4 linked regions of the Styela clava genome follow. The protein of the gene in region 2 purifies or fractionates together with the protein of the main gene of each other region. This does not show direct contact. Links are inferred from orthologs where the notes say so. Each region holds a gene or a part of one and is shown on either strand. Other genes may lie near its edges. The genes, in order: small nuclear ribonucleoprotein Sm D2-like, U2 small nuclear ribonucleoprotein A'-like, U5 small nuclear ribonucleoprotein 200 kDa helicase-like and pre-mRNA-processing factor 19-like.

Region 1 (7,103 bases), on a different chromosome or scaffold from region 2:
AAAGAATTGATATCTTTCGTCGTGATAGTTTTATTTTTTCTCGTCGAGGTCTGCGTGCCAATAAGAAATTCTTCACGCATTTCTCTTAAAAAAAAACGGGGAACCACCGCCTAACATTATATGTCAGCTTGTAACCGTTACAAATGGACTACGCCTACTTTTAATATAAAGGTAATAAACATCACCAATTATCGTACCAGAGAAATATTTCCAAAGCTGATTTTATTTAGTATAACACCATATGATCGTTAACTTTCTTTCAATTTGGAATAACTACAAGCGAAATTGTCACAAAATAATATCAATGAATAAAGTTAGTTCACTGGACGCATCAAACACCCAATATACTAGGGCTGAGAAATCTTATTTTTTGTTGCACAGAGCTACGCTCAGATACACATCTAGTTTTTAATATCTAAATATCAGTTTTCAAAGAATCCCAGACGCAGTGATAGTTTTCTTCCAAAATTGACTGCACACTAATACTATAGCAGACTCGACGCAATACAATTTGAAACAATGTCTTCTTTTTATTGAAAATCAATATAAAACCATGATTGCAGACTTCTGGCTCCTGTACAACATATATGCGCAGGAATACCTGAAAATTTGTCTTCAAGCAGGTTGATAAAAATGATATTCGCAGCTACAGCAGTTAGGCATCTATATGTCAAACTAGATGTAGCTGCGAAAAAAAAAACAACTAAGCCTTGGACTCAGCTGAAGCAAGAGGATTCTTCAGCACAATAATGATAGAGTCTCCACGAATAAACATCTTGCTTATAAAACGATCACGATTAACAGGCTTCTGCTTCGTCTTTCCTTTACCAGTTTTTGGAGTTTCTGTCCACATCTCCTTCACATTTTCCAGAACCATATTGCAATGCCTGTTAACAGAGATAAAACTGTTGTTGCATGAGAATAAATCAAATCTGTGTGGGAACTTACAATACCGTTTCATATACTTTAGCAATATTTTATATAGCAAAATCTGCTTACCTATCGAATGCTTTAACTCTAGCAAGTAACTTTCTGTTATTTCTGCAGTTGATCAATATTTGTGTATTGTTTTTCACTGAATCAGTCAACACTGATAAAGGACCAGTTTGAAATTCTTCTTTTTCTCGTGCCTCCAACTCCTCAGCAGTCATCTCACTCCTTGGTTTGTTTGCAAGCGCACTGTAGTTGTCGAATTGAATACCGAATTAGTAAACTGGAGCGAAACGTATAGGAAAATATGGGGTAAAAGATATTGTCAAGCTGTCTATATTTCAGTATTTGAGAGTCCACTTACTGCCTTATGCAGTAACTTGATACCAAATGGGGATTTCTGTATTGCCTAGTTCAGTCGTTGAATGTATAAAGCGGTCTGGCAGACTGGAGGTGGACTAGACCGCTTCACTCACAACATTAAAGCTGTAAAGCCAAAACAAGCATATTTCGAGTTCAGATTACAGGATTATATCAAGTATGAAATGTTAATATCAATCAGTAGAAGTAGGCTAACTATCGTTATAAATATTGATAATTACTGAGTTACTATAATTAAGGCTGTTAACGGGGGTCTTACTACTGTACTACTTACTGAATACATCGCATTACAGAGGAAAACAGCGCGAAACAGTGGAAACCAGCGCAAAACAGGTGACACAATTATTACCACTTCATGATGGCACCTGCCACGAAAGAATCACGGTACCTCTCGCCATGGTTTTATAGCGCTACCCGTATTACCTGTATATTCACGTGGTTATGTACCGGTACCGGATTTTACGTCATCATTTTTTGGGGATTTTTTTGGGAGGTACCGGTACCTGCGGGTCTTTTGACTAAAATAATGATTAAAAACCTATTTTGCAAATAAAACATGGAAATATTATATTGCTCCTAACGTTTCATTTTTGTAGTAGAAAATTTCCAAGGGCTCCCTCAAACATTAACTAACCAATGATTCACATTGTCGCTATTTTTCTCATGCAAAATCATGTTGATAACTAGTTTATAAAACATAAAAACTGTTATATTGTACTCACGCCATTTTGCAGTTACTCCGTATGTAGATACAGATTAAAACCGATTATGATCCAGCAATGACGCTGAAAAGAAAATTCCACTCACCAACCGACAAGCGAGCTACGAGTACGAGCGGCAAAAGTAAGTCGTATATAATATAGTAGACTCCAATCAGTAATTTCGTTTCCCCGACCCTTGACCCCTTAAAAATTCCAATATACCGTGAGACGAGGCCCTCGAAAACGACTATAAAATGAGTTTCGTATCGCACATATGGTAATATAATAATTTTTTTAGTTTCGTATGAAAATCAACACACTAAACGCATTACAGCTTGTTCCCATTAACGAAAGTTGCACATTTTCTGTAACTATGCAATTCAAGAGTCCTGCTGCACACTTAGAAACGTTTCGTCTGACCAAAATCAGACCTCCCTAGCCAAGCAATTTACAACAAAGAACAGCATAAGAAGTTGCGTTTATTTTACAGAAGCTATCAAACGCATTCATCTTTATGCAATGAAGTCACAAATTAACACGAGAGCACGAATACACAAAAAAAATCGATTATATATTCGCTGTTTTAAGTTTGCAGATATAGCTGAGCAATACCATAGTCTATACTTTATAATATATACTCTATAATGTATTCTTAAAACATCTGAAAATCTATCTGCTTGAACTCAAAACGTCAGTTACGATCTTTTGATCTTCGTACAAGAAAATGTCAAGCGCAAAAGCTCCACTGATCGTCAAGCTGCTAGTACCTATACAGTTACCAAACTGCCCGAAAGTAAAATGTCCGACCTGGTAACAGTGCTTGAGAGTGAAATATTAAAAACTCTGAGACTTGAAATACCAACCATCATTAAACAACCCATGGAAAGGTTGGCCCATGATGTTTCTTTACTCTCCCCCCTCTAGTATTGGCATCCAGGAGTCGTTGTCATCACTAGATGAATTTCTGAAGGAAGTGAAATCTCAACTATCCCTCTGAAGTGGAGGAGATAAAAAAAAGCCAAGACTTCATCGCAAAGAAACCAAAACGAAGTTATTACCAAAACCTTATTGTCCAAAACAGAGGTAACCTTAGATAGATAGATAGTTTATTTCGAAAACTCCATAACAAACCTAAATTAAAAATGGAGAATTCTGGAGGGCAAGCAAAACCTACAAAAAAGTTTAAAACATGAAGTATCTCATGTGCCTGCCCACCAGCACGCACACCTTAGATCAACATGGCAAATATTTAACAAAATCAAAAACACACATAATAAATCAAAGCAACAAGTTGAGGAAATCTGTCTGAAAAATGGCAGTATCACTAGGTTTGACTTTTCGATTTCGAACAAATTTAAGTACTTCTGAACCATTGGGTCCAGCCTCTCTGAGAAGTTTTCAAATGATTCGGGTAATTTCAAACATCTTCCCCATAATCGCGTGAGCAAGTCCATTTTTATGAGTTTGGCTACCGCAAATGAACTGTTGGTAGAAATTCAAAATCTGAAGGTTAGGAAGGCAGTTGGGCCAGACAATATTCCGGCCTCAAATATGTTGCTGACCTTGTTGCTCCGTGTCTAACAGAGTTCTTTAATTGCTATCTCTCACTCGGCATATTCCCTTCATCTCTCAAAATTGAGCGGGTAATTCCTCTTTTTAAATCTGGAAACAAAAAACTTGCTTCAAATTATAGACCGATATCTATTCTTTCATCGATTGATAAAATTTTTGTTTGTACGCTCAATTCACAAGAGGCTTACTAGTTTTTTCATTAAATATGTTGTCATGAATTAATCTCTATTCGGTTTCCAAAACAGTTTTCAACATCGTATGCCATTTTGGGTACTATATTTTTTATATATGACAAACTATAAAAAAAGGAGTTTGTTGGTGCAACCTTTTTAGATTTGAAGAAGAGCTTCGATACCGTAAGGCGTAAATTGAGCGGCAGATCACACAGTATGTTCAAGTAGGTACAAATCCTTTTCTTACCGGTGTTTCACGGGTTCCCACAAGGTAGTTGTTTAGGACCTCTTAGATTTTTTGTATTTATTAATGACATAACTAGGGCTGGGCATATTCGAATACCTGATGATTCCAGAATCGAATCGAATCTCGAATACTTGAGATATATATAATTGTATACAATTTTTTTTATTGTAACTGATTCTTTCAACGAATGAATTACTGAAAACGTAGAATACATCACTCAGACAAATTGCGAGCGTTCACACGCAATAAGAAACACGTTTTATCAATAAATCACTACAGAAAATAGTCATATGTCTGGAATGCATTGAAAAAATAAGGCTTCAATAAAAAAAAAATTAAGGAATATACGTTGACCATTGGCGATGAGAAAAAAAAATAAGATGGCGGCGATTCGAAATGCCCAGCTCTAGACATAACTCGTTGTTCTTCATTATTTTCCAAATTGTTTGCCGATGATACCAATCTCCTCGATAGTGACAAATCTCATGTAGCCCTTCAATAGAGAGTGAACACTGAAATTGCAAAAGTAGCAAATTGTATGAGAGCCAAAAAACATCGATAAATCAAAAACTATGGTAATTAATATCACCAAATAAAAGTAAAGCTCAAAATAGTCTGACAGTCCAAATTGATGATACAGAACTTGAAAATGTCAATTCATATATATATCTTGGTTTATATATAGATAACAAAATGAAGTGCATGGGACGTTCAAATATCTGACCTGGCTGTTAAATTAGCCAAGTCAGTGGGAATACTATACAAGCTTCGACATTTTACATAGCTAACCACTTTACGTATGGTCTCCTATTCTTTATTTCAATCCCATATTCAATATGGTATTGTGGCGCGTGGTTCAGCAGATAAAACCTTATTGCATCGCATCGAAATTCTACAGAATCAAGCGATTTCAGATGTAGAATATGCACTCGTCTTAGTCCTATTTATCGTAGACTTGGTTGATATTTACAAAATTGAAATGTTGAAATTAATGCACCATCACCACCACAACGAAAAACTTCCTCCAGCATTCACTACCTATTTTTTAAGCAGAGTGATGTGCACTCATATGGAACACTCTTATTATGTAAATCGTTTTTCCACCAAACTCACCCAAAATAATGGTTCTCCTAATTTCTTTAGTTCCTATTACTAATTGTTGTTCTCTTCGTGATTGTGTTTTTTGGTTAATTTTCTTTGAAACTTGTTTCTTCCCTATATTTTCTGCTCAATTCAGGTATCGCTGATTAGACGACTAATTGAGTTTTTCGCGACCCCTCATCAATTGTTATGAATCAGTGTGTTCCCGTATTTTTTTATTCTTGTGTGCGTTTATTGCTTTACATTGATTCTTGCACGGTAAAATAAATATCTGAATCTGATTTTTCACTGAGAAATTTACACGGAAAAGTCAAGAAAATTGAGGCCCCAAAACAGAACCTTGTGGTATAAACATATTAACATGTTTTGACGTAGACCTCACATTACCATAAATGACATATTGCATACGTTCGCTTATGTAACTTTTGATCAGCGCCATGGTTTACCTCGTATACCATAATGATGAATTTACTGCAATAATATTGAGTGATCAATGGTGTCAAAAACCTTTTCCAAGTCGACATAAATGTTAACAAAATGTTTTTTTTCTCCCAATATTCATATAATGATTAAGGATGCCAAGTATGAGTACTTACAAGTATTCGATTCTTATCCGATTCCTAAATTTTCGATTCCGATTCTCGATTCCTCGACATATTACCGAAAAAATATACCCACCCAAGCAATACCATATGAAATCAAGCAAGACAGCGATGTTCAAATTCTGGACGGACAAGAAGGCCGAAACTAAGTAGTATGGGTATCCAATATGCCACAGGAGACAAAACCGCACAAAAAAAAAACGAATCCCTCAAAACCCACAGAGATTTTTAAAATAAATAAACGTTAAAGCCTACTAGCGATATTTATAATATATATATTATATATAGTGAAGTTTGTGGTGTCGTAGCAACTCAACATAGCAGTGAAGCAGTTTATACATATATATATATGTGAAGAAATTGCCACTAAACGTTACACATTGTTTGCAAACAAAGTTTCAAACTCGAGAATCGATTCCGGTGCATGGAATCGATTCTGTAATCGAATCCGGACTCGATTTCGCCATCCCTAATAATGATGAGTAACGCTGTCTAAAACTGCGTGAATAGTTGAGTGTTTCAATGTAAAACCGAATTGTTTATCTGACAAAATATCGAATTTGTCCGAATATTCTGTCAATCTGGAATGCGAAAGATTTTCAAAAACTTTCGATATAGCTGTGAGCACTGAAATTGGTTAATAATTGCTCACTATGTTTGGATCTCCTGATTTTAACACAGGTGTCACTTTTGCCACTTTCAGGCATTGAGGAAAAACTCCTTGCTACATGCATGCTTTAAAGAAATCTGTAGAGTACTTGCTAATGATATAAATCATAAGATTTGGAACACGAATATACAGACCGTCCGGACCAGAAGCTTTTCTTGAATCCATTTTGTTTACAATGGAAATAGTTTCATATGCTAGTATAGGCTCCAGATAGATTGAATTTTTCTGAGGTTTTCCCAAATACTTCATAGAATTATTTGTCAGTTTCGATGCAAGATTAGGACCAACATTTACAAAGTAAGTGTAAAATTCGTGGCATATGAACTGATGGTTGCATATGATGCCATGAGTTGTCTCAATTTCGTGTGGAAATTTTCGTTTACGTTTCTTATTGTTGATTGTTATGATACGCCCCAAACAACGATATTTCATGCTTGTATGGAAGGTTTATGATTAATTTAATGACGAATCTTGAGTATTCAGCAGACACATACTACTATATAGGCTACCGTAGGCATTTCCAACCTTTTTAGTGTCGCGGGCTCTTTTTTCATGGGGAAATTCATTGCGGGCCGCAAACGTTTTTACCAAACTCAAACACCAACCCAATTCTGATTTACGTTAGAATTTGAGCGTCGCTAAATCAAACGCCTGGATTGCACAACAATTTTACGGATTTCTGCACACAAAGACCATGGACCATGAAATTCAACTCAACTTTTGTGC
Region 2 (6,925 bases):
CATAATCAACTTTGCCTTTACAGCGAACAATGCCTAATTTCCCGAACAAGCAAGTAAAGTTGGAACTTGTGCATGCTAGAATGAGACAGACATTATCATTTACCAGTTTTAACTGTATTTGGTGGAGCGCCGACACACAAAATGCAATACCAATTGGGTTTCTTTGTGACTAACTAATAATCCTTCTATGCTGGTGGATCTGCATGCATATAAATGTGAGGGTACTGTAGCAGGAGTAAAGATAACTATCCTGTATGATTCAAGAGTCTTGCTGCACACTAACATGAATACAGCAAATATCTTGACTCGCACAACATGTACGCTTGCATACCTACTGAAACACAGGTTATTGCTATTTAGGTTGTTAAATTATCTCTCATTCCGGAGAAATCCTGCACTCTGGCCCCAGAAGCCATGGTCCTGTCCTGAGAAGGTTATTTAAGTCTAATTCCCACTCTGTGAAAAAGCCTAAGATTGCCATCACCAGCCCGATGTCATTAAACTCATGAAGGTACGACTTCATTTATTGAAATTTGGCCATAGCAGTTACAAAGCATCACTGCAAATCAATCATAGCTTACAGTAAAATAAAAGTAAGAAATAAGTTCAAATAACATATACATTCCTAGACGAAGTCTAATATTTTTTTCAAGTCTTCCAAAGTTAAGACAACTAGTCGCATAGATTCCTAGGAGAACTATTTTGCTAGACAATCAGACATCCGGAACAAAACATTCAAGTTTTGTTTCCACCAGTTGTGAGAGTTTGTCTATTTATTTTCCTGTTAGATTTCGCTGTTCAGATAGCCAGTTTTATGACGCAAACGAAGAAAATGGGCATTTTCAAAAACTAAACATGAACAACAATACGCCCTTCAAAAATTGAGCCAAATTGAATTGGAATCATTGCCAAGTTGTCAAAAGTCCATTTTTGGAAGGTAAACAGGAAATATGAAGAATATAACCAGAACATACTGTATAAACGACAGTTTTAATCTACATAAGACTTGAGAAAATTCCAAAATGCACATTGCTTGAAATATCAGACGTGAAACTCGTCATTGATGCGTTTAGGATTAAAAAAAACAGTAGAAAAGATCACTACGAAATGTATGTACACGATAAAAATATAATAGGGGGAAGGTCAATCTGACCTTTGACCCTGTATGAACTGAGAATGTTGCACAGTTGGAATTATGCAGTGTTAGTGATCTGTTCTTGCCTCTTGGCCCAAATTAAACCTTTTCACCAAAGCGAAGATTCAACTTTGATAGACAGCGGTTCTCAACTTATTTTATTTTGTTACCCAAATTCTGTGGCCCGCTCAGTAGGAAAAACAGCACCATTCATTCATTGCCACTACAATTAGAATTAAACTATAGTGACACAAATGAAATTAGCATCAAAATGTTAACGTGACCGCGCAGTGGGCCATGGCCCACTGGTTGAGACCCACTGCTGTAAGGACTATTTGACGGCCTTAGCTTTTATTGAAGTATTGTGAAATAGTAAGTCTGATTAGGCTTCATTACATATGTTTGTTGAATAATTGTCTCTTGTAAAAATTAAAAAGTCTCTCGAAGAAATCATCTCAACTTGTTTCTGTACGTTTTACATTAATAGGAATTCAATTTCATATGATAATTACCAAATATGCATATTTTAAAAAACGATACAAAAAATAATTTGCCAACAAAGTATGTACTTTAATTATAGTTTTGGTGCAAAAAAGTGAGCCGAAACACTACTTTTTACCCTTCTAGTCGACACTATTTTGATTTTTTAATGCAGATTAAGCGTGACAAATCAATACTTTTTTTGTACTTTTCAACTAAGGCCAGTTCAAATATAGTCCCCAGATTTAGTTCTTATAGCGTAGTAACACGTCTTCGCCTCACAGCCCAAAGTAATCCTGAAAAATCCACCGTTTTTTTATCATTTTACATTCAATTTTGGAGGTGAATTTAGGACACTTCCATTTCAGTCTCCTCTTCTTTATCAGCACCGTTTGTGAGACCGTTTTTATCTTTCCCGGGGATTTTTCCAGATTGAAGCATTCTTTTTAGATTTTCTATCTCTTCAAGAGATTTTGCTTTCATGATTGCCTCCTTGATAGCTTGCTTATCCTGAGCGGACGGCCCTGAAATGGAGGCAGTCGGCTGTGTTGGTTTTCCTGGAGTGAAAGTCCTATTCTTTGATTTTTGTTTGATGTCATTGAGCAGTGTTTCCCCTTTTTTCGAACCGAATAGTTTTTTGGCTTCTTCTCGTTCACGTTGTTTAACTTTACGAAAATCTAAAACTCGTACTTGTGGTAATTTGTGAATAACATAAAGTCTATATTCTTTGTGATGAGTAACAGGATTGCGCAATAGGCTCAAAAATTCCAAGTGTTTAAATCCTTCCAAATAATCAAGATCGGTCAATTCCGCAATTTCGTTGTTCGTGAAGTAAAGCTCCTTCAAGTTAGGGATACTCAGATGAATATCTTCTTCGATTCTACAAATACGGTTATTGTTAAACATCAAAGATCTTATCCGTTTGAGCAACGGAAAACCTTCAAACTTTCGTAAATCATTATCAGAAAAGTCTATTGTGTCAAACTGGTCCAAAGTCGCACCTAAATTTTCAATGACAGGAATTTTGTAGCCTCGTAAGATCAGTTCACGATCTCGTACAGCGTTTACATACTGGACTGCTTGCTCGATGATCTCTGGGGTTAATTTCACCATGATCAAGTTTCAACAGCTTTTTTAGAAAGAATAAAAACTTTATTCCAGTGTTATCATACCGATTATAGAGTCAGAGAATATCTGAAGATATAATAAAATGTTAGTAGATTGACAACAATACTTCCGTAGTGTGTGTACCAGGTTAGGCCATAATTTTATTCTGATTTTCCATATTTTAGTTCTATTACAAGTCTGGGTACCGTCTTTGTAAGCTGAGTGAATATACCCCCTGCCCATGGGCTTCAGTTCCCTTACACAACTTGACGTAAAGTATGCGAACAAAATTAGTTACCTTCATTTTGGCAAACATACTTCTGGAGCGCCACAAGAAGGACAGAGTATCAAACTCAACAAGTCAAGTCAAAATTGATATTGATTTCAAGACAAACAAGTAACTAATTAATCCCATACTCGACATGGAATGGTAATTGGACGATAGGCCGTGTGATTATGTAAATCCTATCCTATTAATAAGACAAATTACAGTAATAATGATAAAAAATTGCCTAGGTCATGCAAACTTCAAACATGTAATATAATATGTTTAATGATAAAACTGCTTTAAGCATACCCTATTGAACTTGGATTCCATTTCAGAAATATCATAAATAAAATTTAGGAGTTAAGCAAAATTAGTGATTCCCACAAAACTTCTTAGAAACTGAGGAATGAAATGAACATGGAGATCACTTATATCACATTTGAGATTTCTCTCGATAAAGCCACATCAGAAAATTGGACTCAATCCCATTTTGACCTCCTAAACTACATACCTCTGTAAATTGATATAAGCCAGGGGTCGGCAACCTACGGCCCCGATCCAGCCCACGACACTTCACTGAATTATAGTATCAAAACAGCTGTTTTGACGATTATATTCTTTACGTAACCGAATTTATTGTGAGACACGTGTAGACTAAATTATATTATAATCTTAAATTTTAAGTATAAAATTTACAATGACTAGTTTAATGATGCTAAGTGCAAAGGGTTCAATAGCGCCAAAAATATTCAAATGGAACTTTTTGAGATGCAATGCAATGAGGAAATAAATCTACATTATATTCGAGAGATGTATCACTGCTTGATTTTCATTATAAAAACTATCATCCGTTCGGTTTTCAACTTTCTAGAGATACCGTATGTGCGGTCCGCCAATGATGTGCAACCCTTAATCTTGGCCCAGGAGCGATAAAAGGTTGCCCACCCCTGATACAGTGATATAAGCCATATTACAGACTGACAGGCCTGTCTGGCTGGGGTATGAATAATACCAGAATACTACAGGGATGCCAACTCACAATAAATACAGAAAAAAAACTATAAAAAATACATAGTCTACATGTAGAGATATCGGTACCGTATAACAACTGCCCTAAAATTACCGTATGTTAAAACTCTTCGATTTAAGTGACAAATAAAACAAATCTGACTTTGAATTACCGGTACGGAAACGACCCTTAAATTATCGGAACGGGGTGGAATATCTTCCTAAACTTCAAACAAAACTATCTTCAACACAATAAAGCTATCCCATTATCTATGTAAGAGTTTAGTTGGGACCAGGGACTGGAATGGCAGAATGGTGACAAGGCAATTCACCCAAGTTAGAAACTACTCGTGAAATTCGTTTTATATTTTACCGGTTTGAATTTAACACGACGCAGGGAGACTAATGATTAAAATTACCCTTTTAATTATAATATGTTGAAAAAAATTAAAACATTGGAAAAACACGAAAATTAAAATTATATAGTTATTTGAAAGAAAATATAAAAGATATTTTCCCATATGATAAATAATAAATGTTAGAACAAGAGAGTAAAATATCACGCGCGGCCTTTACTGTTGCCATATTGCTATAGTTCTCATATTGTATTCCATAAAATTAAACAACTAATCGTATTTTTTAGCATTGTAAAATTTGGAACACACAAAATCTTCCAATTTAAAACTTTAAAGACCTCCACCCTAGAAAAGTTATATCAATTCAACTTAAAATTGAACATCCAATGAGGTGGCACAAATATCTACAAAAATCTGGCAACAGTATTTCATTTTTATCTTTAAGTTCACTTCGCTTATCAGAATAATGTCGGAAGATTTGAAGAAATTTCTCTATCGGCAACTTAGCAACGTTGACGGTCTGTACGCAATAGTTGTTTCAGATAGAGATGGAGTACCTGTTCTGAAAATTGCAAACGAAAAGGCACCTGATTACACCCTGCGGCCTGCATTTTTGGGGACTTTTACCTTGGCAACTGATCAAGCCAGTAAACTTGGCTACGGAAGAAATAAATACATTATATGCTCTTATAGTAACTACAATATTATAAAGTTCACTAGACAGCCTTTGACCGTCAGTTTTGTAACCAACAGTGAATGCAACATAGGACTAATTCTGGATCTTGGAGAGGAGTTACAAGAATATCTTGGTGGTGTGAAGCAGGCAGTTGCAGACTTATCAAAAACATTTTATAACGCAAACTGATTATTTTGAAATGCTTTGTTGAATTGTGATGATTTTTCCGATGTGTAAGCCAACGCATATTTGATTTTGTAATTTAATCAAGAAATTTATATATGTTATTTGTCATTTATTACTTTTATTGCTAGTATTCTCATGTTAAATTGATCATTTTCCGCATATCTCATAGGTTCAAATATGTCAGAGTCTGATGAGGGCGTATCGACCTCATTATTAGGTAATAGAGCTACATCGCCACCTGTTGCCCAGCGATCTTCAAAATCTTTCGTCTCTCAAGTGAAGAACACGCTTTTCTCGTTCATTAAGAAAGCAAAGGGAGAAGCAGATACTGTATCACAAAAGCAGAGAGGATTGGAATCCTTCACTGAGAGAGTTGCCACATTTACTGTATCAAAATGGATGGCAAAACCTCTTGCATTGAGTCCTCCCCTATTTGCTCAATATGGTTGGCAATGTATCGGTGTAGACACTGTTAAATGTTGTTCATGTGCCGCTGTTATGTGTGTCCGTCTTCCATGGCCTGATGCTGATAATTATCGTCAGCAGTGCTTTGATTACCGACAGAGAGTTATAACATCTCACATGAAAATATGTTCATGGCCGAGTTACCCATGTTCCAATTCATTTGTTTCTCCGTTTTTTCACAGTAGTGCATCACCAAGTGAGATCTTATCACAGTATCAAGAACGTGAAAAAAATCTCATAAAGCTTGGAACAAAACTCCCGAATTTAGATCCAAACATTACAACTGCTCTGAACTTGTCAAAAGCTGACCTAAGAGTTCTGTGTCAAACACAGCAGGATTCAGAAAGTAACGCGAGTGATACTGTCGAATCTCAATCTAAATTTACTGTTGAAATAACAGCGGCAATACTTGCGATGTGTGGTTGGGATACAAGTCACAGTTTAGATTCAAAGTCACCAACTATCATATGTGAAAATTCAGGAAGGGTAATGTCTCTACGAAGCTTTTTCCAACTTGGAAGTAACTCTCTATCTTCTGACAGCGATGAGTCCCATTCTCAAGCAGCTGCACTGCTTACTTCTAATGGTCAATCAACATTAAAAAGACGATTAAGCACAACAAATGGTGAAGATTCTCAGTCACCGATCAAAAAATTGAAAACGGCCACCGAAAGCGCTTTAGGTTCTCCTCGAGGAAAAACAATCACAAAGCAGAACTTCCATCCTTTGGAACAACATTCACCTTGGTCGTTTTGGATTACTACTCTAAACCCGATATCAAAAGTTGAGTTTGAAAGTGACGCTGCTAAAAAGGGAGCATCCGTAACTGACAAAGATCAAAATGACGATTTATATCATTTTATTATCAATCCCACCATGAAGGAAGCAAAGCCAGGGTGGTTGGTAGTCAAGAACACAATCCTCGATAAAAAGAACACAAGTGAAAAAGTGCAAAATGTTACAAACGAAAGTTCAAACTCTATTTTGGATGGAAATTCACCAGCCAGAGATCAAACGAACTTCGACGCCAAAATTGCTGCTTCCGGAAGTCCGGTAATTCATGTCAGAAAACTGTTAAAAGAATGGTCTCGATATAAATAGATTTTCATTCTTCAGTCATATTGATCATACAAGAAGTAACACAATATTTCTAGCATAGGATTTTTTGGGTCTCGTGTAGTTTCGTACTTAACGTACTTCTAATGGGCCTAGCATAACAATTTTTTGATGTGTCATTCCTAACT
Region 3 (7,009 bases), on a different chromosome or scaffold from region 2:
TTTACTCGGTGAAATTTGTGTTAACTTTTTTGGTTATCTGGGCTATCATTATTTAATTTAATTCTTTACCTTGGTAACCTTAAATACAACACTAATTTCTATTAAACTTATTATATTTGTTTCAAGGTGCAAGAAGTGGGATGTTCCAATTGAGAAAGTCTACAATAAAACTCAACGTGACAAATTTGCTTGGGCAATAGCAATGGTGGATGAAACATATGTTTTTTAAAGCTATTATCTCAACTCTTTATTTTTTACTAATTACTTCCTTGATTTATTTTGTTATGGTTTGCTAAATTTATTCGTCCGGGATTTTCCAGTTTTAATATCATCGCCCTGTTTAGTGGTATGTTTCAACAGTTCAGGGATTGCTGGCGCTCTGTATTACAGTAATTCGTACTAGTTTATCGCTTCATCAGTCTCAGCATTTATAAGAAGCAATATCAACGATACACAGGTTAATAATTGGATCAGTATTTGTGTTTATATATGGCCTTGTGAACTATTTTCTTTTATAACCATAGCTTTTTTAACCCATGAGGGTCTGGAGCCTTTATTGTGAGGGATAGTTCAGTCTATGGCCAATCATTAAAAATATCGATTTTGTAACTGTCAATATATTTGCCAACTTCATTTCTTATGGTCTTGGTACAAATCATTTGCCTATTAATGTGAGGCCAATAAAGGCTCTGGCAATACTACTGCTTTCTTAGGATTTCGCGGTTCTTATAATGATAATGAAAGTTTTGTACATATCTTCTTCTAGGCAATTTTCTATATTTGCTGCTTTATGGTGTCCGCTTACATTTTCTTCACTAAGTTTCATCTCGAATCATATAATAACATAAATACGGAGTCTGATTCAGTGATGGAGCTTATGAAGAATTTTTAGGTTTTAAAATCTTTCGTTTGTTCCTGAAATGAATTGATCTATATCAAACCATAATCGACTGACTGCTGGTCGATTGTGATAGATTTTGAATTTTTATGGAACTCTAATTTTATGTTACATAGTTCGATAGTTTAAATTCCTTTTTTGTGAGGTAGGTAACAAGGTATTTATCTCTGCATTTTTTAAGTGTTCTTATTTCATTTTGGACATGCTTATACCAACTGGAAGCTCCATAGAAACATATTTTTACTTTGTGGAAGTCCCCTTGTTAGATGTCATTACATCTATATCTTCGAAAGTTTTTATTCCACTGAATAGGATTTTTGTCACAAATTGAATTTTTTCACTACCATTTCCGTTGTATACAAACTTTATATTGATTGCCGGTTCTATAGTATGAAATTTGTATGTGACCGATTAACTGCTAATATTTTTGATTGTTTTATTAAATGCACAAGGAAGTATTTGTAAAGCATGCTTGTTGTTTTTCTTAGTAAACCATGGGGAAACCATAGTGAAGCAGAGCTCATACAAACATGAATGTTAAGCTTTATAAGCAAGTTACGATTCTGTTAAAACTGCATCCCTGAAACCAGCTTTAGTTCTGGGTAGCCTCGTGATGTTCAGTTCAAAATTTGGCACTTCTGAAGGATGCGTACCGAGATGGCGGACACCAGAATGTAGTTTGTGTACCAGGTTAGGGGTTGGGCCATAGTTTCAGGTACAAATACTACGGTGGTCACTTGGCTTGTGACAGCAATTTTAGCCTGTGCCCATGTTATATATTCATGAAGCTGGCTTGGTTTAGGTTCAAATCCTATACTTGTTTGAATCAGCCTCTTTTAAGTAGGAACAAGGATTTTTAGATAAACAGTTTTTATTTATTTGTTTTATCAATAATTTTATTACCAGTTATGCTGATTATGGAGTTGAAATAAACTTCTACTCACAAAATACAAAGTGACGATGATACCGCGCGTGGACTCTTCCATTGTTTTCGGGTCTGTGCATTTTCTCTGCATTGTTTTAGTTTTTATTATCTCATTGGACACTGTGGTAACTTTTTTGTATCAGCTCGATGCATATATGTAAAGTTTCAGTGTGAAGGTGGTTCTCACATTGAGTCTGTTACACCTAAATTGTCGTTATCATTATCCGGCAATTAGGTGTGATTTCCTTGACTCCGCGCACATCATGCCGACGTTTGTCGTGCGTTCTCAGTTTTTGAAAGTTTCTGATCCCCACACGCGTTATTGTTATAGGTATAATTATGAGATTTTTTGCGGTATTGCAGTATTGGGAGAGACGTCTTTATCACATGGCTAACCAAGGCTTTATCGATATAGATTATATAAAACATCAAGACTTGTTGCAGAATTTGGTTTTGGTGTGTGTGCGCTAGCAAAAAATAAAAAACGGTAATTTAGCGTTTTCAGGTTTTGGTTAGAACATTGCAAACACACGAAAATTCCTCTTTGTCAAAAATTGGAAATAATTTCGACACTTTAGTTCGTGTCAGTGATTCAATGAAAAGTTTAGTCTATTTCATGTTCACGTCTTCATGTAATGCCATGGAGCACTGTGATTTACTAGAAACTGAGAAATGCACTTGAGATTTCATGACACAGGCATTTGTTCATCTTCAGTATATCTACGGTACAGTCACAGATATAAATAATACAGTAATATGCGCCGCCTCGGAAGTGTAAGTCATCATGCTAAGGCATAAGGGTTAGGAATACGCTGATTAGGTTCGTAGCGGTACTGTATTACCCCAAGCAGGGGTAATTCCAGAATTCACAAGTTCCAATTTTGTTGGGGACGTCGGTTAGGCATGGATCCCGCCACCATCATGCAACTTAAAGAAATAACTGGCTGACTAATCCTGTAATCCCATACACGGCATGGGCTGGTGACCGGATGCTGGAATGAAAGGCCTGGTTATGCTATAAGATTAAACCATATTTCAAACAAGTATAGACTCGAATGCCCTTTTATATCAATAGCGATTTACAGATTTTCCTGTGCTGAAGGGTAATTGAAAGATTAAGCAAATGAAAAATTTGTTAGTGACATATTAGTTGAACAAAGTTTATTAAATATTGTAAAATGAACATTCAAACTGTTTAAAAGCTTGCAAAAATCTGTACCCAAGGAAAGTTGTTAATTCTCCCTGTCATATTTTCGAGCATCACTCTCATAGATCAGTAGAGTATAGGGTGGCTTACCCACTTAGCGGCCATGACCTATCTGCGACCATCAACTTCATCGATTAAATTAATGCCGTAAAAAATAACGAACCGCGCTGATATTTCTCACGCGTTATCGTCCACTTATCCCTCGTAGCTCTGCGAAATTACACTAAAATGCGGCCACAAATAAAAAAGTTACGACCGAAAAAAAAAAACGGACCATTTTACCATGTCGCCAACTACCCATTGTTCCTTCAAAAAAGCTTGAAAATCCATACAAATATAAGAGATAAAGAGATGAAACTTGGCAGGTGGGTAGAGTTGTGTTTCTTTTAACCATCTCTAAAGTTTCGCGTTTCTATCTTCAAAGTAGGGGGGTGCGCATTTCCAATATGTCAATAATATCTTTGTCAACTAATTTGCGACCACCGTGTTTTTGTCTGTTTGATTGCTGTGATGCGGTGCTTTGTTTATAATTTGAAGAATTTTGTTTGAAATAACCGTGTTCTTAAAATATATGACGGTCAGAAATGCAATTAGAAGCCCATTTTTCCACGCATGGCTGCGTTTGCCCTAGTCTCGACGCAGCAGAAACGATGTTCAAGGCTTGAAATCCGTGATCACAAACTGGTCGTTCGGTCCCAAATACGTCTTCAGAGTGTCGTGTAGAATAAATGCCAATGCACCTACGGTGAAAAAATTAACGGGTTAGAAATATTGGTTTTTGTTTTATAGCGGTTTGAATGAAATTGTCTGCAGACTGGCTGCACCACCCTAAGACTGTTGTGCAGAATCACATAAATTACTATTAGACGGAGGTTATGAGTGGGGCAATACATACAATATGCTTTGCTAGTTGAATTTGTTTAGAAAAACTGCATCAACCGTTTTCACATGTTATTATTTATGTTTTACCACAGATATATTAAATCTGTAGAGGAATCGCTGTCAATAAAAAAACAGCATGGCGGATGCCTCCGCCCGTTCACTGCAATATGAATACAAAGCCAATTCTAATCTTGTATTGCAAGCAGACAGATCACTCATTGATAGACGACCAAGAGATGAGCCGACAGGAGAAGTCATCTCATTGCAGGGAAAATTAACTGGATCAAAAATGGGTGATAGAGCGCAGCGTACAAGACCACCACAGATGGAAGAGCGTCGAGCAAAGCGATACAAGCGTGACGAGGATCAAAAATCTTCTGTGAAATTGAAAGGAGCAACTCTGTTATCTGAGGGAATGGATGAGATGGTTAATATATTATATAAACCAAAAACAAAAGAAACTAGAGAAACGTACGAGATTTTACTCAGCTTTATCCAGGCTGCATTGGGTGACCAACCAAGAGACATTCTTTGTGGCGCAGCTGACGAAGTGATAATTGTTCTTAAGAATGATAAACTGCGTGATAAGGAAAGACGAAAAGAAGTTCAATCACTGTTGGGAGTTCAAGAAGATACTCGCTATCATGTTTTGGTAAATTTGGGCAAAAAGATTACCGACTTCGGCACAGATAAGGATGCTGAAACCGCAGATGATAACATTGATGAAACATATGGTGTCAACGTCCAGTTTGAATCGGATGATGAAGAAGAAGACCAAGAAAACAGGTATGGTGAAGTTCAGGAGGAATCTGAAAATGAAGATGATGATGAAGAAGGTGGCGTAGAGGCAGATGCGAATATGGTTGTTTCTGCTAATCTTACCAACGAAGCCGGAAATGTCAATATCATTAAGAATCGTGGACTACATCCTCGCGATGTTGATGCTTATTGGCTGCAAAGAAATTTGAGCAAAGTTTATGATGATGCAATCGTTTCGCAAAAAAAGGCAGAAGAAGTCTTGGAAATTTTAAAGACTGCGGTTGATGATTTACAATGTGAAAATCAATTGGTAATGTTGCTCGGTTTCAATCAGTTTGATTTTATCAAAATTTTGCGTGAACATCGACAAATGATTCTATATTGCACTTTACTTGCGAGTGCACAAAGTGAAGCTGCAAAAAAACAAATTGAAGATAGAATGAAGAACGATCAAGAATTGTCAGTGATTCTCCAGCAACTGAACGAAACTGAGAAAGAAGATATCATTAAAGAAGAACAAGAACGCAGAGAAAGATTACGCAGAAGCAAAGTTGATGCTGATCTAGAAGCAATGGAAACTGACCAGACAGATGAAACTTTACAGCCAAGCAAAGGGGTTGATCTTGAAGATATCATGTTTGAACAAGGATCTCACTTGATGGCAAATAAAAAATGCCAGTTACCAGATGGTTCTTATCGCAAACAACGTAAAGGTTACGAAGAAGTGCATGTACCTGCTTTAAAACCAAAAGTTTTTGCTGATGATGAAAAACTTGTTCCAATTGATACTTTACCCAAGTATGCCCAAGCGGCTTTTGAAGGGTTTAAAAGTTTGAACAGGATTCAGAGTAGACTTTCCAAGACTACACTAGAAAGTGATGAGAATATTTTGCTGTGTGCCCCCACTGGTGCTGGAAAAACAAATGTTGCACTCTTGACTATGTTGAGAGAAATTGGCAAGCACATCAATTCTGATGGAACGATTAATGTTAATGATTTTAAAATAATATACATCGCTCCAATGAGATCACTGGTACAAGAAATGGTTGGAAATTTCGGAAAACGGCTTGCCGCTTATGGCATCAAAGTCAGTGAAATGACAGGTGATCATCAGCTTTGCAAAGAAGAAATCAATGCCACACAAATTATTGTCTGCACACCGGAAAAATGGGATATTGTGACAAGAAAAGGTGGTGAACGAACATACACACAGCTGGTACGTCTGTTGATTATTGACGAGATCCACATGCTTCATGATGATCGTGGTCCTGTCCTGGAGTCTGTTGTTGCAAGGACAATTAGATCCATCGAAACAACTCAAGAGGATGTCAGACTTGTTGGACTTTCTGCTACTTTACCAAATTATGAAGATGTTGCCACATTCTTGCGTGTTGATCCCTCCAAAGGGTTGTTCTTCTTTGACAACAGTTTTAGACCATGTCCTTTAGAACAGCAATACATTGGCATAACAGAAAAGAAAGCAATCAAGAGGTTTCAGGTTATGAATGAAATTGTTTATGAAAAAGTTGTTGAAAATGCAGGTAAAAATCAAGTTCTGATTTTTGTTCATTCACGAAAAGAAACTGGAAAAACTGCTCGTGCTGTTAGAGATATGTGCTTGGAAAATGACACTCTAGGACATTTTTTGAGAGAAGGATCCGCTTCCACAGAAGTTTTACGAACAGAATCTGAGCAAGTAAAGAATTTAGAATTGAAAGATCTTCTGCCATACGGTTTCGCAATCCATCATGCTGGAATGTCAAGAGTTGACAGAACATTGGTTGAAGATTTATTTGCTGATCGTCATATTCAGGTACTTGTTTCAACAGCCACACTTGCTTGGGGTGTCAACTTACCTGCTCATACTGTCATCATCAAAGGCACACAAGTGTACAGTCCAGAAAAAGGTAGATGGGTTGAATTGGGTGCACTTGATGTACTTCAGATGATGGGACGAGCTGGTAGGCCACAATATGACACCAAGGGTGAAGGTGTTCTTATTACATCCCATAGTGAATTGCAATATTACTTGTCGCTTTTGAATCAACAATTGCCTGTAGAAAGTCAAATGGTTGCCAAACTGCCAGATATGCTGAATGCTGAAATTGTGCTGGGTAATGTTCAGAATGTCAGAGATGCTGTGAACTGGCTTGGGTACAGTTACCTGTACATTAGAATGCTTCGACAGCCTACTTTATACTCCATAAGTCATGATGCACTAAAGGCTGATCCTCTTTTACAACAACATCGTGTTGACTTGATTCATTCTGCTGCAAACATATTAGATAAAAGCAATTTAGTCAAATATGATAGAAAAACTGGGCACTTGCAAGTGACA
Region 4 (7,422 bases), on a different chromosome or scaffold from region 2:
TATAATTGAAGTCTGAAGTGACGTTTGCTAATATAAGATATAGAAAATATTCTAATGTGGCAATTTTCAACAGAGGAATTTGTATGTACTATGTAAATTCGTTGAAACTGAATCTGGTAAAGTAAGATAGATAATATAAACTTTGTTCTGATTGGAATTGTTTTTTTTGCACTGTTAGAAGATGAATTAAGTCTATTTTTGTCGTTTATTTCAGATGTCGAATGCCTAAAATGACAGAAAGAAGAGAGATTCATTATTGGGTCAACCGAAAATACAGTCATCAATACAAATATATATGGTTTTTATTTGATTTTAGTTGGTTGTGGCAGCATCAGGTAGGCCAGATTGGATTTGGGCCGGATTTGGCAACGCGGGCCGTAGTTCGCCCATGTCAGATATAACGCAGTATCAACCTTTATATCAATTATCTGTTCCGGTGAAATAGGTTCGTTGCATGTAGGGTCGACACCATGCTCTTGGACATATTTTTCAAGCAATCTTCGTTCAAATACACATCCAGATACTTGGGATATGCATGGGTGATCTGGCACTTCTCCACTGACTGTAAAAAAGGATTAAAATGAATTTTTGAAATGAAAGGTCTGGTTGTTTCACCATCCAGTGAGAAAGAGACAATCATTTTGGCAAATAACAGAATGCTGGAAATCTGGAATGTGTCAAAATGTTCACATACAGACATACGTCAGTCAGTCGAAGTTTATTATAACTGGGGTTCAATATACCGACATAGGAGTCCATAGGACATACTTATGACGGGTCTGGTATAGTTAAGTACCACATGCACTTCTAGTTGGTCTGGCTCAACAATTTTTGCATGGTTCCCGTACATTTGAACACACGTAAATTTTTTTGTTTTACGGACATTTTAACCCATACTGACCCTAACCCATGGGTTTTAGCACCCGCGGATATACACATGGGTTCAAATGTACAGTCACCTTTTTGCATATGTCATTCTTAAACCCCACCTGACTATGTCACCAAAAAATCATGTCATTATGACATCACAGTTTCGTAATAAAGCCCTCCTAAATATACGGAAGGACGTCCCAAATGCACAGACGATCATCCAAAATTGAGCAAGTTATTTCTCTCGTTTTCTCGTCGCAACGACCCTGATATGAGAGAGATCGCCGATGTTCGTTATCGGCGGCACAGATGCCATTTCGGGCGATCGCAGCTACACTTTAGCAAGCTCTATGACGTGATTGTGACGTCCTAGTGACATAATTTTTGGATGGCATAGTCAGGTGGGGGTTAGGAATGACATATGCAAAATTCGTTATGCTACGCCAACTAGTGGTATACTTGTGTTACTAAACTATAGTAGGGTGGCTTACCCACTTTGCGGCCACGACCCATTTGCGGCCATCAACTTCATCGGTTAATTTAATACCGAAAAAATTAATGAACCGCGACGATATTTCTCACCCAATTTCGTCCACTCATACCTCGTATCTCTGCGGAATTACACTAAAATGCGGCCACAAACAAAAAAAGTTACGCCCGAAAACCCGCCCGGAGAAAAAAAACGGACCATTTTTTCATGTCGCCAACTACCCATTGTCGCTCCAAAAAGCTTGAAAATCTATAGAAATATAGGAGATAAAAACATGAAACTTGGCAGCTGAGTAGAGTTTTGTTTCTTTTAACCATCTTTAAAGTTTCACGTTTCAACATTTAAGGGAGGGGAAATAGGGGGGTGCACATTTCCAATACGTCAATAATATCTTTGTCGAACAATTTGCGATCACCGTGTTTTTGTCTGTTTGATTGCTGTGATGTGGTGCTTTGTTTATAATTTGACGAGTTGTGTTCGAAATAATCGTGTTCTCAAAATATATGACGGTCAAAAAAGCAATTAGGAGCCCAATTTTTTCACGCATGGCTGCGTATGTGCTAGTCTCAACGCAGCATAAGCGATGTTCAAGGCTTGAAATCTGCGGTTGCACACTGGTCGTTCGGTCGCAAATACGTCTCCCGAGTGTCATACTTTGATGGTTTGTATAGCTTTAACCACTGGTCGTAGAAAGTTAATTCGAGATTTACCGTGTAGAATAAATGCCAATGGGGTCTGGTATAGTTTAGTACCACATACACTTCTAATTGGCCTGGCTCAACAATTTTTGCATATGTCAATCCTAACCCCCACCTGACTACGTCACCAAAAAATTACGTCATTCCGACGTCACAGTGGCGTAACACGGCCCACCGAAGTATGCGGATGGTTGTCCAAAAGGCGCAGACGATAACCCGAAATCGAGCAAGCTATTTCTTTCGTTTTCTCATCGCAATGATCACGATAGGAGAGAGATCGCCGGCTTTAGCAAGTTCTTATCGGCAGCGCAGATGCCATTTCGGGCGATCGTAATTATACTTTGACAATCCCTATGACAGTATGACGTGATGGTGACGTCGTAGTGTAGTAATTTTTGGATGGCATAGTCAGGTGAGGGTTAGGAATAACATATGCAAAAATCGTTATGCTACGCCCACTGGCAGACTGGAAGTACTTGTGGTACTAAACTATACTAGACCCTGCCAATGCACCTACAGACCTATGGTGAAAAAATTAACAGGTTAGAAATATTAGTTTTAATTTTATAGCAGTTTGAATGAAATCGTCCACAGACTGGCTGCACCACCCTAGACCCCTTTGAAAAATTTACAAATAACAAGTTTCAGTAAAACATGTTTTTTTTGGAAACAAATACAGAAATATCAAAGGAAGGGCACAGGGGAAAGCTTATAGCGGTAGCGTGAACCAGTAATCCTCTTGCACGTAATTACTTCCAAATACGTAAATAAATTTAAATTCAATCAACTTACTTGTGCATATTAACGACATTTTGACAATTACAACATACAATCCCAATCCAATAATAGTATGATCTTCAAAACTTGGAGCTAAAATCAAAGATGGCGGCGCCGTATGAAGTCACTCATGCATGGTGTCCAACAAGACTTCCGTGGTTTCGTGCCGATGGATATTTTCCAGACCTTCGACCCGAAAGATATTCTTCATGGATTTATTTTTAGGAGTCTATTGCGAGTTGGTCTTACAAACTAGTACTGATAGCTAATTTTAGCCTAATTTATCGCACCATTTTAAAGCTAATTTTTGAACACCAATAGCGACTTTCGGACTGGTTTGTTTCAGCGACTCTTTACCATACTGCTGTTCATCGGATAGAGGCCTCCGAATCAGTCGCACCACTTTCGGAAAGGTTTTAGCATAGGACAATATTTCATCTATATCGGTGGAGAATAAAGCCGACTTAATCATAAGGCGAACCACGACCACTTGTCCGGTTACCGCACCTATGGTGATAGTCAAAGTTTCGTCAGTACTTTTCCCGACTATTTAAATTGTTTTTATATGCGGATTACACTCTCTTTCAAAAAAAAAAATACTTGAGGTTCATAATGATTAATTATCAATAAAATTTACTCACATTTAAAGACCCCACATTCACCAGTATTGATATATGGTTTCTTAAACAACTCACAAGGCAAATGAGAACGAAGTCTTACGCTTCAACCACTAGGACACGGGTTGGCACGGGTATGGGATAGTGGCGTATCTACGTAAAATGTCGCCCATGGCAAATTCTGAAAACTCGCCCCCTTGATAGTTTGACAATTTATAATGACTATTATTTAATTGAGATACTTGTACGTTATTATCTGAGTAAAAATACGAGTTTCAATTATTCCCAATTGAAATTTTTTATGATTAATACTTTTTGCCCGTTTTGCGCCCCTGTTCAAACGGCGCCCATGGCACGAGCCATGGCTGCCACACCCTAGATACGCCACTGATGGGATTAGTTGGTTATTTGTTTTCGAAAGCATGGACTTGCACGGCCAGCGGTTACGTGAACCACCCCACGGCGGCGAAGAGTCCAGCAATCCTCTCGCACATAACCATTCCCGAATTGGATTCGAACATGCGAAACCACGCAGAGTAATCAGAGGTGCTATGGCGAGAGTTTTCCTAACGCTTAGCACGATGAGCCACACCGCCGCGCTGCCGAGCCGCAACATATACTCTTATGTCAGAGGCTAATAAAACTTTCGGAAACCCACTTATGATGCAATAAGCAAGTTCTTAAAAATACGAAGATTCAATAATAGAATCTATGACGAAATGAAAACTGCTTGCAAAACTAAAAAAAGAGAGTGTTTACACACTTGAATCGCATTAATGCAACCTATTTTTACCGCTTGCGACGTATAGTTTGGGGACCGCTGTGATGTGTAATTAGTGGGGAGTATTTAGCTTTATGCCTCCGCCTCTCATTAATGCCTCAACGCTTCTAAAAAACAACTTTGAGACAGAGCTCCGAGCCACAGGTTGGCGATCGCTGCACTAGGCCATGGCTTCCACAAACTTTCTTCATAAACTTGTTCAATAAAAAATACAAGAGTTTTACAATAATTGTTTTTATTTGTTATACGAAGGCATTGGATGCAAGAAAAGAAGAATTAAGGATCTTTATATTTTGAATTACCTGAGTTTGCAATATGTAAAGAAAATATTCTGGAATTCTGGTCGTCATTAAGCGAGTCGGGAAAAGTTTGGTAAAGTCATATTAAAATCTACTCGGATTTGAGGTTTGGAGGGATTTGCGCCCACAAAGGTTTCGCACCAGTATTTATATGTACTTTTCTTAAACAAGTTCCGTTGGTTCAACGGAATGAAGTAATAATGGATGGAAATCGATAACTAGAGGTCTACGACGCTATATTTTCATCACAGTAAAGTAAATTATGCAAAATATACTGAATACATAAAATGTAGTCACACTGTATACCTATAACAATGAAATACAGATGAAAATTATAACTGTACATCTTCGTCAAACATGCTTATACAGAGAGGTATGCTTATAACAGTGCTCCGAGTAACCTGAGGTAAATGGTATTGGAAAAATTAATATACAGTTTTAAATGTATCAATGCGACAAAGTTTGAGGTATTTGTGGTTGAAGGTAAACTTTGAGAATGAAGGAAGATTTATTTTTACTAGTCGTTTTATCTAAAATGCTTAGACCGAATTCCATGCCGTAGCGATAACCCTATACTTATGAAATTTAAACCTATTAAATACCGCAGTTGCGCAGCCAGTCAGTCAAAATTGACCAAGTCGCAAATAAAACTTTGGGTTCCGAGTTACCGCAAATTCAATGTTCAAACCAAGAACACGTTTGCTCTGCTGAATTGTTTATGGAGCTATCTACGCAACTGTGGCTGGCTATGTTAATCAGAACCAAAAGCAAGAGAATTGGTTAAATAAGCGAACCAGGGCGATTATTGCCATGTAGCTTGCACATCATTGACTGACAACAAAGGGCCTTGTACAAGAATCTAGAAGGTGTTTCATTCCGAACAAAATCATGTTATTCATATTTTGACTGACAGAAAGCTACCTAGTTGATGACGATTTCCTCGTGATATCAGTAGGATTTCTGAAATTTATAATTCCTGCGGAAGAGGAAAGGCGAAAAGATGTCTTAATCATATGGCGTACCTCGGCCCCCCAGTTCATGTCGCGTATGGGAATAGTAAATATTCAGTTATTTGTTTCAGAAGCGAGGGCAACACTAGGTGAAAATAAAACTTGAATGAAAGTGATTGATAAAGTAATAAAAATGACAGCTGTTATCCTGGATACAGAAAGTATTATATAGTAAGCAAAATAGGAAAAGAATATTATTGACGCTATTTAATTAATTAGCGGGAACAAGATTGGCGGACTGGGGAACAGAAGATGTACCGTCAAGCCTTGTTCGGTTTGGATCCCACTGATATAAAAGTGCGTGTTGGAGTCGACTATAACCGGATATTGGAAGAGATTCAGACGGGTAGTAGTGGTTGTAGATACCCGATTGGGCAGATTCAGGAGTGGTCGGAGTCTGACTTTCTTTTCGATATGCGAAATTTGCGACTGTGTTTGGTGAAAACCGGAAAAATCTAGACGCTGGGTCGCTGTTGTTTTCGTGGTTGAGTGAGTCAACTCCGGGTTTGATATTGAAGGTATTGGTTGTATCGCCGGTTATCCCGTGTATTCCATTGTCGTTGTATAAAAGTCTTGGATCTGCAAATGGCGAGGTTAGGCCGAGGAAGCTTTGCTGAATCTGAGGTGGCACCGCATACATTGTGCCATAAACCAAGTCTTTCCAACCTGTTATAACTGGCTTCCATTCAATGATAGGGGCGAATCGATTGGCATCAAAACCAGGCGCCACAGATTTGGTTTGAGGCGGCGGATAAGTGTCATCATGGGATGCATCGGGGGTTCGTGACACTGGTGAGGCGCCATCGATACTATCTCCCTTCGCTTCACTATCCTGGCTTTTGTTTATATTCTCATTATCTTTGTATTGCACAGTTTCTTCGTTGTCTTGCATATGTTTGTCTTCATTCGACTTCTTGGCAGGTATTTCATACCATTCGTTGCATAGTTGTCGCTTCCACTTCTGTGGTTTTTCAGATGCTGAAAGTGAAATAAGGAGTTTATTGAAAGCTAACAATTAGACGGGGTTTAGAGATAAGTTTGTGGTGTTGAAACTATTACAAGTGTGATTGCTCATATTATTATGATTGCTTTGGTTTGGTATTTGGTACCAAGCTAAGAAAACGTGACACAAAGTTCAAAATACTAGTCAGGTCTGCCTACGAAGCAGGTACATCCTTGGTGAGTCCATATTGCTCGAATACTGGCGCACATCGATCAAAATAAAACCGACCATAAACTCGACTTACAGTTCACAATAATAAGTCATATTACAGTTCATTTTTCCAACAAGTTAAAGTAATTACATATTAAATAAATTAGGTGGTAAAAGTCGCGGGAGACCAAACCTGTTCATCAAGTACCTCATCGGGAATTAAAAGAAATTTTAGGTTTCTGAGTATTGCCTTTATGAGCTACATCGCATCGACAACATTAATGTGTATTCTTACCTCTTTTTAGTGACTTTCTCTCTGGACTTTGTATTTCGTCAGAGGAGGAGACATGTCGCTCTTCGTTAGTCGTCGTTGACGCCACATCGTGGTTGTCATTTTCAGTTGGCGAACGACCGACATCGGGACCAACGACATCTTCATTTGCTCTATCGTTTTCTCCCGATTGTGACGTATGCGGAATTTCTGTGACCTCTTCCGGTACGGGTTCACACCTTCCCAATGACTTATAAGCAAGGTCTTTCACTCTCTGCATAAAAGCGGATTGGATTCGCTTCGCTTGGAACGTAACATGTGTGATCTCATTCGCTGCTGAACCGGAAGTGTTTGGAGAGGATTTTCTCAGATTTGGCGAAGAAGGAAGAGATTTGTCGCTATGGCTTGAATAGGCAGAATCACGTCTCTGGTCTTTGCGGCTATGGTCGTTGATCA

Evidence for each region.
Region 1: the proteins of U2 small nuclear ribonucleoprotein A'-like (region 2) and small nuclear ribonucleoprotein Sm D2-like purify together in Homo sapiens (affinity purification with mass spectrometry; 5 studies listed by BioGRID and IntAct, counting the BioPlex papers as one, with this or other methods). This does not show direct contact. The link is inferred for Styela clava from reciprocal best matches to the Homo sapiens genes SNRPA1 and SNRPD2.
Region 3: the proteins of U2 small nuclear ribonucleoprotein A'-like (region 2) and U5 small nuclear ribonucleoprotein 200 kDa helicase-like fractionate together in Homo sapiens (co-fractionation; 3 studies listed by BioGRID). This does not show direct contact. The link is inferred for Styela clava from reciprocal best matches to the Homo sapiens genes SNRPA1 and SNRNP200.
Region 4: the proteins of U2 small nuclear ribonucleoprotein A'-like (region 2) and pre-mRNA-processing factor 19-like fractionate together in Homo sapiens (co-fractionation; 3 studies listed by BioGRID). This does not show direct contact. The link is inferred for Styela clava from reciprocal best matches to the Homo sapiens genes SNRPA1 and PRPF19.

What each region holds. Positions count from the first base shown.
Region 1 is NC_135253.1:644,468-651,570, reverse strand, and holds small nuclear ribonucleoprotein Sm D2-like, read right to left. Parts: upstream 2,195-7,103; 5' UTR 2,039-2,194; coding exon 2,034-2,038; intron 1,180-2,033; coding exon 1,000-1,179; intron 888-999; coding exon 704-887; 3' UTR 511-703; downstream 1-510. UniProt on the Homo sapiens protein: Plays a role in pre-mRNA splicing as a core component of the spliceosomal U1, U2, U4 and U5 small nuclear ribonucleoproteins (snRNPs), the building blocks of the spliceosome.
Region 2 is NC_135254.1:5,249,807-5,256,731, reverse strand, and holds U2 small nuclear ribonucleoprotein A'-like, read right to left. Parts: upstream 2,833-6,925; 5' UTR 2,729-2,832; coding exon 1,964-2,728; 3' UTR 507-1,963; downstream 1-506. Other genes in the region: ragulator complex protein LAMTOR3-A-like, read left to right, coding at 4,821-5,219; uncharacterized protein LOC120344131, read left to right, coding at 5,394-6,782. UniProt on the Homo sapiens protein: Involved in pre-mRNA splicing as component of the spliceosome. Associated with sn-RNP U2, where it contributes to the binding of stem loop IV of U2 snRNA.
Region 3 is NC_135263.1:8,545,243-8,552,251, reverse strand, and holds the start of U5 small nuclear ribonucleoprotein 200 kDa helicase-like, read left to right. Parts: upstream 1-4,008; 5' UTR 4,009-4,048; coding exon 4,049-7,009. Other genes in the region: DNA topoisomerase I, mitochondrial-like, read left to right, coding at 127-229. UniProt on the Homo sapiens protein: Catalyzes the ATP-dependent unwinding of U4/U6 RNA duplices, an essential step in the assembly of a catalytically active spliceosome. Plays a role in pre-mRNA splicing as a core component of precatalytic, catalytic and postcatalytic spliceosomal complexes.
Region 4 is NC_135252.1:20,701,127-20,708,548, forward strand, and holds the start of pre-mRNA-processing factor 19-like, read right to left. Parts: upstream 3,011-7,422; 5' UTR 2,870-3,010; coding exon 2,851-2,869; intron 563-2,850; coding exon 414-562; intron 1-413. Other genes in the region: uncharacterized protein LOC120343531, read right to left, coding at 5,754-6,520, 6,991-7,422. UniProt on the Homo sapiens protein: Ubiquitin-protein ligase which is a core component of several complexes mainly involved pre-mRNA splicing and DNA repair. Required for pre-mRNA splicing as component of the spliceosome.